Linked DNA regions of Canis lupus familiaris. The protein of the gene in region 1 purifies or fractionates together with the protein of each later gene. This does not show direct contact. Links are inferred from orthologs where the notes say so. Each region holds a gene or a part of one and is shown in the gene's direction. Other genes may lie near its edges.

The links.
Region 2: the proteins of GSK3B (region 1) and YAP1 purify together in Homo sapiens (affinity purification with western blotting; 3 studies listed by BioGRID and IntAct, with this or other methods). This does not show direct contact. The link is inferred for Canis lupus familiaris from reciprocal best matches to the Homo sapiens genes GSK3B and YAP1.
Region 3: the proteins of GSK3B (region 1) and PRKAR1A purify together in Homo sapiens (affinity purification with mass spectrometry; 3 studies listed by BioGRID and IntAct, with this or other methods). This does not show direct contact. The link is inferred for Canis lupus familiaris from reciprocal best matches to the Homo sapiens genes GSK3B and PRKAR1A.
Region 4: the proteins of GSK3B (region 1) and PRUNE1 purify together in Homo sapiens (affinity purification with mass spectrometry; 5 studies listed by BioGRID and IntAct, with this or other methods). This does not show direct contact. The link is inferred for Canis lupus familiaris from reciprocal best matches to the Homo sapiens genes GSK3B and PRUNE1.

Annotation. Positions count from the first base shown.
Region 1 is NC_049254.1:24,131,286-24,134,785, reverse strand, and holds part of GSK3B (glycogen synthase kinase-3 beta), read left to right. Parts: intron 1-953; coding exon 954-1,140; intron 1,141-3,500. UniProt on the Homo sapiens protein: Constitutively active protein kinase that acts as a negative regulator in the hormonal control of glucose homeostasis, Wnt signaling and regulation of transcription factors and microtubules, by phosphorylating and inactivating glycogen synthase (GYS1 or GYS2), EIF2B, CTNNB1/beta-catenin, APC, AXIN1, DPYSL2/CRMP2, JUN, NFATC1/NFATC, MAPT/TAU and MACF1.
Region 2 is NC_049226.1:29,541,054-29,544,553, reverse strand, and holds part of YAP1 (transcriptional coactivator YAP1), read left to right. Parts: intron 1-2,729; coding exon 2,730-2,860; intron 2,861-3,500. UniProt on the Homo sapiens protein: Transcriptional regulator with dual roles as a coactivator and corepressor. Critical downstream regulatory target in the Hippo signaling pathway, crucial for organ size control and tumor suppression by restricting proliferation and promoting apoptosis.
Region 3 is NC_049230.1:11,735,377-11,738,876, reverse strand, and holds part of PRKAR1A (cAMP-dependent protein kinase type I-alpha regulatory subunit), read left to right. Parts: intron 1-2,563; coding exon 2,564-2,734; intron 2,735-3,500. UniProt on the Homo sapiens protein: Regulatory subunit of the cAMP-dependent protein kinases involved in cAMP signaling in cells.
Region 4 is NC_049238.1:60,769,075-60,772,574, forward strand, and holds part of PRUNE1 (exopolyphosphatase PRUNE1), read left to right. Parts: intron 1-1,303; coding exon 1,304-1,396; intron 1,397-2,115; coding exon 2,116-2,318; intron 2,319-3,500. UniProt on the Homo sapiens protein: Phosphodiesterase (PDE) that has higher activity toward cAMP than cGMP, as substrate. Plays a role in cell proliferation, migration and differentiation, and acts as a negative regulator of NME1. Plays a role in the regulation of neurogenesis.

The DNA of each region.
Region 1 (3,500 bases):
GGAATATGTTTCATTTTTCTTTAGTTTCAAAGGCTTTCTGTCCATCTGTTTATGTTTATTTGTTTTTCCCCTTTCTGATTCTATTCTTCAACTGTCTATAATTTAGAGCAAAGCTATTTTCATAGTTCTGTGTATTGATTTGGAGTTTTAAGGTAAAGATGTGTAGAAAGCTTTCTATTCTTTTAAGCAAACTAATTTATTTGAATTTTGCTTCAGCACAGCCTTCAGTTGACTTTTTCTAGAGTTAATGGCTCTTAATGAAAAGTACATTTCTCTCTCCCTAATTAAAACCCTAGAATATTCATCCAAATGAGGGTAATCTGACCATATTTGTAATAACAGCTACTCTTTGAGAAAACAGTTTTGGACATTTTGTCAAATTCTGGGTATTCAAGAATTTCTTCAAATAAGACTGTTTATTGAAGAGATAATAGCAGATCATTAGCATTGCTAAAGCTAAAGTAAATAGCTTTTTTCCCCAAAAAAATATTGATTGCCAAATTTGAGTAGTGCTGTCCATTACTGACAGTTGTTCTGCTAAAAATCACACACAAGAGGCAATCTTTTATTCTACTGCCACAGTAGTCAAAACTTTTAGAAAATTTTAATATTCTTCTAGTTGGTGCTTGCCTCCAGAACCCAGCCTTTCTTTGTGCCTATGATATCCTATTTTGTGTACATATTTCATTGTACTGCTTTATGATTAGCAAGTGTAGATTTTTTTTAATTTCCCCTAGTTTTTTCTCTGAGTTTTCCTCATATAGTTTGTAATTAGCTGTTCACCTCAATGTAGTGAATCATATGCAGTTAACTCTTTTCATTCTAGAAGGTTCCTCTCACAAATGCAACCATGTTGTTGTACGTGGTGGGAATTAACTCAGTACTCAAAGGATAATTTGCTAAGATTCTTACAATAAAGCATTAATTGTTCTTTACCTTTTTTTGTACTGCAGGTCTTCCGACCCCGGACTCCACCGGAGGCAATTGCACTGTGTAGCCGTCTGCTGGAGTATACACCAACTGCCCGATTGACACCACTGGAAGCTTGTGCACATTCATTTTTTGATGAATTAAGGGACCCAAATGTCAAACTACCAAATGGGCGAGACACACCTGCACTCTTCAACTTCACCACTCAAGGTAATTCCAGATACTTAGTTCTGTTTTTTACCATTTCTGAGAAAGCTACCTATCTGTGTGAGGTTATATTCTTTTAATTAAAATCTGTAGGACGAAAGTGGGCATATTAAGTACTTATACAGGTAGCAAACATCCCTTCCAACAACTGATTAGGCTACTACTTGTATGGTTTTAAACAAAATAGTGGCAGATAAAATTTTTTCCAGTAGACATAGCTTCTCTCATTTTTGGCAGATTATAATAAATCTTGGCACATGAGAAGTTATAGAGATTTCACTATTAAGTTAACCCTCAAGTTTGTATTTGAGACTAGAATTTTAGCATTTCTTACTTCCCAAGTGTTTATTTTTTTCCAAGTGTTTATATTAAGTTTTTTAAACCTGGAAATCAATTGGTGAAATTGGTGGTGACTGTATTTGTATAAAGTCAGATATCTTACTTATAAACAGAAGGAAACAATGGAATTCTATATAACTGTCTTTCTTAGAACTTGTATAAGAGATGTAGATAGAGAAATTCTCTTCCCTTGTGGAGCTTGGCACCATGGCTGCTTCTGAGAAAATACTGAGAGGAAAAAACAGAGTTTGTGTACTGGTGCTTTCTAAAAGACCCAGGAAGAATCATTGTTTCTTAATTACTTCTGTGTTCACTTTTCTTTCCTTTCAGATTAAGACCCTAAGTAATTCATTTAATCAACTACACTGCCTTCGATGCTGTGATTTTCTTCATAAACTGCACATTAAAAGTGTACAATTTCCTATAGATAAAACAAGCAAGAAGTGGTCAATTGATTGATTGGTCAGCTTAGTCAAGCTTAAAATATAGAAGGGAGATGGAAAGCTCTCTGTGACCAGGAAATAATTATATTTCCTTTATTCTAAGATGAATTCCCCCCCCCCCCCATATTTAAACTTTTCTAAATTTGAAAGTGGGAAAATGTATTGCTTAAGCAGTAGATGTGGAAGACCTCAGTTACTGGCAAAATAGACTTGGATGATTCCATTGACTATAATCTTAAGCAGTCAATAATGTGTAACTACTAGTAGTGCTGATACAGTCTGAAACTACATTCATAAAGGAAAAAATGTTCAGATATCCTGGGATTAATTCTGACTGTTTAGGGCTGATCAGAAATCACTGGAGTGTTGTTTTAGGTCCCAGCTATACCATTTTAAGATGTTATCAAATAGCAGGTGGGGTATGTAAAGGAACAGAATTCCACTTCCTGGAAAAGTGAAGACTTAAGGAACTTTTGAGAATGATGTAAAAATACCTCATAGATTATCTTCTGAAGAAAGATGTAGACCTGTATTCTTTCTCCTGATTATAAAATTGAAAATAGTAGTAGCAAAAAAATTAGAGAATAGTACATATTTGAGTTTATGATATCAGCCCCTGGCATAGATAGAGACTAAATAAAATTATTGATGAATCAGTAAAGTTTTCACTTATTTAACAGTGGAACAGGTTTCTTTGTTGTGCTTTTTATTTGTTGTTTTTTGTGTGTGTGGTTTTGTTTTTGTTGTTTGTTGTTCCCCACTCCATCCTACCACCATCCCCAAATACCAGTCTCTGTATTAGGAAAAAGCTGGATGATGTCAAATGTTATAGATAAGATTACTCCAATTTGGTAATACGTTAGACTCTTCTAGAGCAGATTCTGTGACTCTGTCATTAAAAAATTTTTTTTATTTTCAGTTTTTACTGTTTTGTCTTAAGAGTAGCACTATATATATTAAAGAAAATGTTGAAGATGCAAAAGAAGTATAGAGAACATTAAAATCACAATCCCCAAATGATCACTTTTAGCTTTTGAATTAATCACTGTAATATTTTATAGTCTAGCTCTTTTCAGTCTTTAATATATACTATGATAATCCATGAATATAAAGTGATACTCTACTCTCCCATTAAGAAGATACCAAAAGAAAAAGAAAAAAAAAAAAAAAGATCCCAAAAGGGTTTCTTGGGTTAACTCAAATGTATTTAAAATAATGAAAAAATAAATAAAATTATGCATTATATAAAATTAATATTCAGGAACTTTTTAACCTCAAATTTCATAAAACAATTTTATTAATACTTTTTATATGCATCTTTTACACCTGTTTCTTTCTCATCAGTAGAGCTATTTTTAAATTTTTTGATATGAAGCACCTTTTGAATCTATATGAAGCCACTACTGGAAATTCTACAAGTATCCATTTTCATAAATGTTTGGTTTGGGGTCTTTCTTTGTACTATAAGTATCTTTATTATCTGCACATAGAACTATCTGCTAGGTTGCTTTTTAAAGTGGCCTCTAAAAGGCTATGTATACAGTGACATGCAACACTTGTAACTGTGGAATCTTGGCATCA
Region 2 (3,500 bases), on another chromosome or scaffold:
TATTTTACATGATTGGCTCAGAATTCAAGCTCATGGGGAAGGAGAAAAAGAACCAGGAATTGGCCCATGAAGGAAACAGAAATCAAAACCATAACCAGGGCACCTGGGTGGCTCAGGTCATGATCTTGGGGTCCTGGGATGGAGCCTGGTGTCCAGGCTCCCTGCGCAGAGAGTCTGCTTCTTCCTCTGCCTTTCCATTTTCCTCCTCATACTCAATCTCTCTCAAATAAATAAAATCCTATAAAAGAAACCCATGATGAGATACCACCTGTCAGAATGGCCCAAATCAACAACACAGGAAACAGCAGGGGTCAGCGAGAATTTGAAGAAAGAGGAACCTTCATGCACTGTTGGTGGGAATGCAAACTGGTGCAGCCACTCTGGAGAATAGTATGGAGGTTCCTCAGAAAGCTAAATATAAAAATACCCTATAATCTATCTTCCAATTCCACCTCTGGGTATTTCTCTGAAAACAACAACAACAACAACAAAAACCACTAATTCAAAAAGATACATGCACCCCTCTGTTCACTGCAGCATTTTGTACAATAACAAAGTTGTGGAGCAAACCTCAGTGTCCATTCAGCTGTCAATCACTTAACCAACTTAAGCGTCCATCAACAATTGAGTCGATAAAGATGTGTATATCTTGCCATTTGTGACAACATGGATGAACATATAGGGCATTATGCCCAGTGAGATAAGTCAGAGAAAGGCAAATACTATGTGATCTTACTTCATAAGTGGAATTGAAGGAAAAAAAACAACCAAATTTACAGAAAATGAACAGATTGGTGGTTGCCAGGGGGTCAAAAGGTTCATACTTTATACAGCATGGTGACTATAGTTAATGATTATAATTATTAGCTATAGTTAATAATACTGCATAATAAGTACATATTTAAAAGTTGTTAAGAGAATAAATGTTAAAAATCTTCATTCGAAGAAAAGACTTTTTGTAACTCTGTGTTGTGATGGATGGTAGCTAGACAGAGGATTGCTATGGTCATTTCACAGCGTGTACTAATACCAAATCCTTGCATTGTATACTTAAAACTGATGCAATGTTGTATGTCACTTAAACCACTATTTTATTTTTTTAATGGGAAAAAAAGAGAGCCAGTCGACTGGAATCGTAAGAGATGAAGTAGAGTCCCTGAGGCTGGAGGGCAGATGGAGTGGGATTGAGGTCATGCAGGAGCTGGGTGGGAGGAGAAAGCAGGGTGAGTGTGTGCAAGAGTTCTTGGGGGTGAAATCGCTACACCCATTCCAGAGTTGCCGGAGATGCAGGACCCTCAGGGGTAGATTGTTCCATAAGCTTGATGCACTGATAGTGATTGTGGTGCACACGGTTCAGGGAGGTGACACGCCGGTCTTCATCCCAGGCAGGCCTGCAGACTTAAGTCCCATGGTCTCAGCCAAGCAAGCGGGTGATTCGGATAGGTGGAGGTGAAGGTCCTTGAGATCCAGGTGGTCGAGGAGCTGCCATGTGACCTAGTAATTAATCTGTAAATAACAAGCTCTAACAGCATGTCTTACAACTTTTGTACTATTGAAATGGTAATGAGCATAAATGGTATTTTAAGATAATTTGCAACTACAGTAGGATATGAAAACGCTGTCCATGGATGCAAAGTAAGAGGATGACAAATACAAGTGTTGTCATCTGTGTTTGAAGAGAATGCTGAATTTCAGTTACAAGTTAGTAAAAATAAAAGTGAATTTTCTTCACCCAAATTCATAGACCCTCTGCATTCTGTCATGATCCTCCAGTTAAGAAACCCCAGTGTAAAGGACGGTGTATTCAGCAGGCCTAAAGCTGAGTGAAAAGCAGTGTTTTCTGCACGAGGCGGAATTGATGGTTTAGGAGTCGGGGTGCCTCAGGTGTGCCTTCCTGAACAGCCAGGCAGTGTCCTTAGCAATAAAAAGCCACATTTCTAGTCAAATCAGAAAAGCCAAGGGAGAAGGGAGCCTGTGCTCCCACAAACAAGAGGTTAATGGGAGTGTGAGAGGCACGGCAGGAGCTGTTGGGGTGCCTGGGTGGATGAGAAAGGTGAGCGAGGACAATGTCAGGATGGCCGGATGAGGTGATGTAGCTTCCAGGTCCTGGACACATTTGAGACTGAGGTCTGGGCCATTGGGACAGGCCCTTTAGAGCCATTTGGGTGGTAGTGACCCATGGTCTTTGCTGAGCAATCCAGGTAGAGTCCTGCTGAGGATACGTTGGATGGCTCTGAGCACAGCTGGGGATGGAGGAGTGTGAGGTCAGGTGCAGACACCGGACAGCCAGGGGCACTGGTGTGGTTATCGCTTATCACCTGGTGTGGTTTTTCCGACTTTGCCTTGACTCCTTGGTGCCGAACAAAAAATCAGCTGAGGGTTGGTGAGTAGAGAGAAACTATAAGAGGCATTCTTTTTTGAAAGACCACACTTCCCATCCTTTCCCATAGGACAGGTTTGGGAGGGTCTGCCAAAGTAAGAGAAATAACAAAATGAATTTAGGGAATCCTGTGTATCTGTTCAGGGGTTTGTAAGACAAGATAGACTTTGAATTTATGTGACTTAAGTGCAAAAGAACTTGGTGTTTCTGACCGGGTAACCTATTAGTTTTGACCAGAGTTTAACACCTGAACTCTGTACCTGGCACGGTCATGTGCATTTTATTTCTTTAAATTGAATGAAGAGTTTGTTAGCAGTAGACTGACCATGTTGCTGTTTGTTTTTTCTAGGAACTAGCTCTTCGTAGCCAGTTACCAACACTGGAGCAGGATGGCGGGACTCCCAATCCAGTGCCTTCCCCCGGGATGTCTCAGGAACTGAGGACGATGACGACCAGTGGCTCGGATCCCTTTCTCAACAGGTGGGTGAGAGCTGCTTGTGGCTTTCACGGGCGTCCCCTTGGGGCTGGTCCTGACCCCATGAGTAAGTAAGTACCCTTGGGGGCCAGGCACTGCACTGTGAATGACCCTCACCCATGACAAACCCTGTGAAGCTCCAGCATTCGAAGCTGGCTCCTGTGGGAGGACCTGGGCCATGGGGACTTATGGGGGACTTGTTCCCAGTCATGTGTTTGCTTCTGCCTGCGCTGTGAAGCAGCGCAGTGATGTAATGTGGCAGAGTCGTGAAGGAAGGCATGCAAGGGGGTCGTCCTCTGGAGCAGCCCCAGTGATGTGGGACCTGGTCTTCCTGCAGCAGCTCCTGAAGGCCACATGTTTTTAAGGACTGTAGCTTAAGGACGTGAAATGTACGGTGGTGCCTCCTGTAGACACACTGCACAACAGGCAGGGGCTTGCAGGTACTCTTCAGTGGCCTCATGGAGCTGTGGTGAAAGCTGCTCACCCACAGGTCCTACTCCTAGGTTTGATGACCATTCATCCGTTTAGGTTGTAAAATGTTCATGGAGTTTCAGTTTGTTAACATATGGAACAAATACTTTCTTGTCTGTACTTTTTGGTTTTCGGATTTTTTTTAACTAGTTTTAAACAATGCACCTTTAAAAA
Region 3 (3,500 bases), on another chromosome or scaffold:
ATGAAACGAAGTTAAAAATCAAAATGCTTTCGGTACTTAAAAATTATCTTAAAAATTCATTTAGATACAGTTTCAAGTGAGATGTTATTTGTGTAATTTTTCATGAAATTTTTATGAAAGGTCAATTACAGATTTTTGGGGGTAGAATGTTTTTATTTATGGTCTTAAACTAAATTTGGGGAAACTTGAGTTTTACAGTTCTGTATTAGTATGAAATGGGAAAAGCTTACTGGTCATTGGAATTACTAGAATGAAAATGAAGTGAGTTTTCTGGAAAATATATTTTTAAAAAATTGGTTGCATATTTGCATATGTTTCAAAATTTTACAGGCACAAAAGGGTGTGACATAATAAAATACAATGAAATACAGTACATTTTATACAAACATGGGGGCAATATAGCATATAATATATAAAATATATTTTATATATGTAAGAATGTATGATAATAGTATATAAAGATATTTTAAAAAATCTCCTTCCCACGCTGTTGTCTTCCTTGAATGCAGTGAGTTTTCCATAGATAAGATATAGGTATTTACCTACAAATTCATTTATAAAAGAGCTTCTTATTTTCCAACAGGTGCATGGTATTGTACTGTATGGCTAGATACAATAGATAGTTTAATCATTCCGTCGAGGGCCATTTTATTTGTTTCCACTGTTTTATTACTGTTCTAAACAATAATTTTGTATATATTACAAGATTTTGTATGTTCTATCCCATATATACATATCTTAGAATAAATTCCCTGAAGTAGGATTATTGGATTATTTGGTTAAGAAGTAAATCCATTTGTAATTCAGTAGACAAATATATTAAAATTGTTTTTGTTATATGTTTTTCTTACTTGAAAGTTAGACAGTCCAGAGAAATGAGAAAAATAAAGCCAAACTTTCCCTCTGGAAAAGGCTATCAAGCATGATTCTACTAATAGAAATGAATGCTGATGGTTATCATTCTAGACTTCGTTGCTGCATATATAAGTTCTTTTATTTGTCTTGATGCCAAAAGCAGGGCTAAATACGAGGCAGTAGAAAGAGCAGGTATCTCCTTAATTTCTTTTATTTTTTTATTTTTATTTTTTTTAAAATTTTTATTTATTTATGATAGTCACAGAGAGAGAGAGAGGCGCAGAGACACAGGCAGAGGGAGAAGCAGGCTCCATGCACTGGGAGCCCGACGTGGGATTCAATCCCGGGTCTCCAGGATCGCACCTTGGGCCAAAGGCAGGCGCCAAACCGCTGCGCCACCCAGGGATCCCCTTAATTTCTTTTATTATTGTTAATTTTTTGTTAAGATTATCTATTTGAGAAAGAGAGAGCACGTGCGCATGCACGCATGACAGTGCCAGAGAGCCAAGGGGAGGGGCAGAGGCAGAGGAAGAGGGAGAGGGGAAGCAAACTCCCTGCTGAGCAGGGAGCCGAGACTCAACCTCACAACCTTGAGATCATGACCTGAGCCAAAACCAGGAGTCTGACACTTAACTGAGCACCCAGGCACCTTTCTTTTAATTTAAAAGAAACTAAAAATTTCTTGTTTATCAAAAATTTTTCTGAAATTATCAGTAAATGCTAATAAGTTCATTTAGAATTTGAAAGACGGTTTAGAAAAATACTGGAAATGAGTCAGATGAATGAGAACATAGTAGAGAACACATTCTTATTTTATGTCAGGCTTAGTAACTCATTCTTTACTGCAGAGCTAATTCTTCTTAAGCCCTGGATCTGAAAAATAAGAGTGTTAAAGAGTTTGTCTCCATTTTTATATGAATTGATTTAATGAGTTTTTAAAAACCGGTAAATGTTCTTGGTTTTAATCTTGGTGTAAACCCTGATAATAAAGAAGGCTTCTAAGCTCTGTTGGTAAAAGTATTGTTAGATCTGATTTTATTTAAATTCTTGGTTACCATCACATCATTTTTTGTTATTTGTTTCTATCTGAGTCTCCAGCTCTAAGAATATGAATTCCACAGGCTTAGGACACTCCTATTGGTTTTGATACTGTCTTTTCCTAGCATGAACTTGACATGGCAGATCTAGAGAGAACACTTAATTAATTAATTAAATCAGTGACCAGATACCATTCTTGTATCACTTTGCTGTGCCTGAGTGGTTATTTCTAGGTAACATTCTTTTGATGTGTGTATCTATGTGTGTTGGAGGGGGTCTTCGTGCTTCATGCTATCTGTAGCAGTATACAAAAACTCTAATTCTCCAGGATTTTGTTTTGCAGTTTTATTAGTTGTGTGCATTACAAAGCATTGTTGTCAATATATTACGGTAATGAGTAATTTTTTATCTGCATCGTATGTCTCTTTGTATTAATGGCTTTTGTTTATTACTAAGTATAGTATCTATAATCAGTTGAGGAAACAGAGTGCTTTCAGAGTATTTCTTTTCAGACTTGACTCTACTTTTTTGCATTTGGAATTGGCCTTTCCCCCCTTCACATTGGTAATAGAGGAAGAGATTTGAAGTGGAGATTGGTTCTCACTGGGATAGGAGAATACCAAATCTACCTCTGAAGGATCTCATTTTATAAACTGGTAATTTTTTTCAGGAGGAGGCAAAACAGATTCAGAATCTGCAGAAAGCAAGCTCCCGTGCAGATTCGAGGGAGGATGAAATCTCTCCTCCTCCACCCAACCCAGTGGTTAAGGGCCGGAGGCGACGAGGTGCTATCAGTGCCGAAGTCTACACGGAGGAGGATGCTGCATCATATGTTAGAAAGGTAATCTTGCTACCTGCGCGCTGTGGAGATGTTTTCAGGACCCACGTGGTGCTCAGCTAGCCTCCATTGATGAACGCATGCACTGTAAAACACAGGACGGAGTAAAACACAGGACGGAGTAAAACACAGGACGGACTGTACTTCATCCTGTATAGTTCTTGGGGGCTGGGGAACTGGTTTCTGTAATAACGTGCCATCAGAAGAAATAACAGTGAATAATTGTATTTGGGGGGACTTCTTTTCCATGTTGTTTTGCAGTAGAAGAGGCATGAGTACTCTTTTTTTTTTCTTTGAATCATGGTTGGTTTTTTGATATCCTATAATTTGTGTTGTGACTTTTAACCTCTGGTCCTATAAGCTTCGTTCATCCTTTTGACTTCCTAAGAACCTCCCTGCCATTTTGAGTTAAACTTTTAGCCTGAACAGGGAAGAGAATTATCCTGGCAAGAGGCTTATGAATTTAATAGTACATGATCACAATTTAAAAAAAAAATGAAAAAAAAAATTACTTAATTCTCATAAAATGCTTACTTTTGCCTCAGAATAATGACCTTGGTCAAGGTGTTAATGGTTTAGTTCTTCAGTTGTTGACTAGAAACCAGATATCAGCATTTAAATACAGGCTTGGTTGTAGGCAAGGGGATTAATTAGTCAATATTTATTGAGTACTTTGTAGATCAAAGATATTATAAATATGTTGTGTTAAATACTTAAGGCAAAGCAGTCTAGTTTAAATCCTGTAATGTGTCTTGACATTTAATTGAAA
Region 4 (3,500 bases), on another chromosome or scaffold:
GTGGAGCATGCAATTTTTGATCTCAGGCTCGTGAATTCGAGCCCCACATTTGATGTAGAGATTACTTTAAAAATAATAATGAATTATAAAACTAAGCTATAAAAATAAAAGTTCCAGCAGCAGCAACTGTTCTTGTTTTAATCTGAACCTGCTGGGGAGAGTGTCCAAGCCTGGGTAGTAAGAGTTGGTTATATTTGGTTATTATTGAGGCTCCTCTGGGCTGGAGGAGTTTTCATGGACTGGATAACTGGATCATGGACTAAATTTTATTTTTACCTTTTTTTTTTTTTAAGATTTTATTTATTCATGAGAGACATACAGAGAGAGGCAGGCAGAGACATAGGCAGAGGGAGAAGGAGGCTCCATGCAGGGAGCCTGATGTGGGACTTGATCCTGGGACCATGGGATCATGCCCTGAGCCAAAGGCAGATGCTCAACTGCTGAGCCACCCAGGTGTCCCCCCCCACACACACCCTTTTTTTTTTTTTTAAGATTATTTATTTACTCAGAGACACACAGAGAGAGGCAGAGACCTAGCAGAGGGAGAAGCGGGCTCCCTGTGAGGAGCCCAACGTGGGACTTGATCCCAGGATCCTGGGATCACGACCTGAAGCGAAGGCAGATGCTCAACTGCTGAGCCACCAGGTGCCCCTTTACCTTTATTTTCAAGAGCTCTTCACCTCTCATGATTTAGAAGTATAAGGATGCTTTTCCCTATTTTGAAAACAGGGGAGCAAATAACCCCAAGAAACAGGTTGATCTGGTTTGAATATGTCAGCTACCCAGCTGCTCTATCTTTGATTTCTTGTGTGCCCAAAAAAGCATAAGAAGTGAGAGAATTATTTACTGCATTTCTTTTTTTTTTTAATAAAGATTTTATTTATTTATTTGAGAGAGAGAGAATGAGTATAGGGGAGGAGAGGTGAGAGGTAGGGAGAGAAGCAGGCTTCCTGTTGAGTGGGGAACCCAACACAGGGCTGATCCCAGGACCCTGAGATCATGACTTGAGCCGAAGACAGGTGCCCTGGGCCACGTAGGCACCCCTGCTGCTGTTTTATTTTAAGTTAACAATCAAGGAGACAGGTACTTTCTACTTACTGGATATGTGTGGAATGCTTAAACTTAGCTGAACACAGGGGGCCTTTCAGCTAATATCCTCACCTGTGAAATGAGTACCCATAAAATTATGTGACCTGCCTCCCCTGTGAAGATCAGTGAGAACGTGTGTGAAGCCCTGTTCAAGTATAAGGTAAACGGAAATAGATAAAGATGCCTTTGCTAGTGTCCCATTCTCCTTCACCAGGAGTCCCGGCCGCTGCATGTTGTGCTGGGAAATGAAGCCTGTGACTTGGACTCCATGGTGTCAGCGCTTGCCTTGGCTTTTTACCTAGCAAAGGTGAGTACTTAGCAGCAGAGTCCCTAGAATGAAAAGATCTGGGTCCAAGACCCAGCTCTGCTACTTGACACTATTTAGTCTTGGGTCAGTTAAATTCCTTAACTTTGCTGAGTGTCAGGTCACCATCTATAGAATCAGAAATGATACTATTTTGCAATGTTGCTGGGGGGATGAAATGAGTAGAAGTATTTTGAAGAATTTTTAAAAATATATGTTATTTATTTATTCATGAGAGACACAGAGAGAAGCAGAGACATAGGCAGAGGGAGAAGCAGGCTCCATGTAGGGAGCCCGATGTGTGACTCCATCCTGGGTCCAGGATCACGCCCTGGGCCAAAGGCAGACGTTCTACCGCTGAGCAACCCAGGCATCCCTATTTTGAAGAATTGAAGTCATAAAGCAATTCAAACAGTTTATTATTGAGTTCTTCTTGGGTACCAGCGATCTCATGCCCAGGTCAGCTCTTGAAGATGGATAATCCTTTCTCTGCTCATGGAAAAGAGCTAGGTCTTTTCCATGAGTTATCTTGTTGTCCTTGGTGTTATTCTAAGGTGAGAGGGCAAGAGATGTCCTTTTATTTTTTACCAATTGGGTAGTTGTGGCATTGAAAAAGGCAGCGACTTACCCAAGATCATATCTCCTTTGGTCCCAATAATCTTGTTACTTTTCCTATTTATTCCAAAACATTGGCCTGTGTTCTTTTCACTTTCCTTATCCAGACAACAGAGGCTGAGGAAGTCTTTGTGCCAGTTTTAAATATAAATCGTTCTGAGCTACCTCTACGAGGTGACAATGTCTTCTTCCTTCAGAAGATTCACATTCCAGAGTCCCTCTTGATTTTCCGGGATGAGATTGACCTCCACGCCTTGCACCAGGCTGGCCAACTCACCCTTATCCTTGTTGACCATCATGTCTTACCCAAGTAAGTAAAAGGAAGTTGAGCTGATACTTATCATGTGCTGTATTGAGCTCTGATGAGTAAGAAATAAAGAGAGGAAGAAAGAATTTCTGCTCTTGGGGATCTCACAAGCTAATTGTAATTGCTGGGTCATATGAGATACAGAAAATACTGTCAGTTCTCCAATTATGCAACTAACAAAAAGAAAGAGAAACATGGAAAGGTTAAACTAAAGGAAAACTCAGAAATCATTTAAATCTGCTTTTGGTATCATTATTTCATGGCAGACTTATTGGAATAGAAGCCTTTGAATAATTGTTGTAACTCTATTTTTGATTTTTAAAGGCAAAATTATTTCCTACGTAAGGCAGTATCTCATTAGTGTCATTGTGTTGAATGTTAGGTGTGTGATAACCAACACTCTAGAGGACAAGAGGTGCATAAAGGTTGGAGTAGTTAAATATACTTGAGGGGAGTGGAGGGTGTGAGGAAAGGTCTCCTGAGAGAGTTGACCCTTGATCTCACTCTTGAGTGTTGGCTCCTGGAGTGGGGAGGCAAGGTAGTTAGTTAGGAAGAGCATCTGGGCAGAGAGCAGAATTAATATAAGCAAAGTTAGGCAAGCATGAAATAACATGGTGAGTTGGGAGACCTGGAATTTGTTTTGCATGGCTGGAGCATAAAATGTGACAGAGAAGTAGGACATAGGAAGTGGTGAGACTAGAGAGGGGGTCAGATCCTGGAGACGCTATAGGCCCTGCCAAGGAGACTAGACTAAATTGTTAGGGTAGTGGGCAACTGTTGTGAGTTCTGTTTATTCTGGATCCTAACAATCAAATTTACATTTTCAGATGATCATTCAGCCACTTTGTGAAGGACAGCTTAGGGAAACTGAGAGTATATCTTTGGTTAGGAAACTGTTGGAATAATCCAGGTGAGAGATACTGAGGGCCTAGAATAAGGCAGTAGCAGAGGATTGGAAAGGTGGGGTTGGGTAGGGATTAAGATAGAAGCCATAGGATCTGGTGAACTGCATGGAATTTGGGCATTAAGTGGATTGAGATGACAGGAGAGATGTAGATGTTGAATGCCAAAGGTGTCAAATCAGAAAAGCAATTCCAAAGGACATCAAAGACGTGGGAAGATACTTGTAGCTGATACTTCACCAAGTTCACTTATATACTATTTGATGACTTCAGTTACAACATG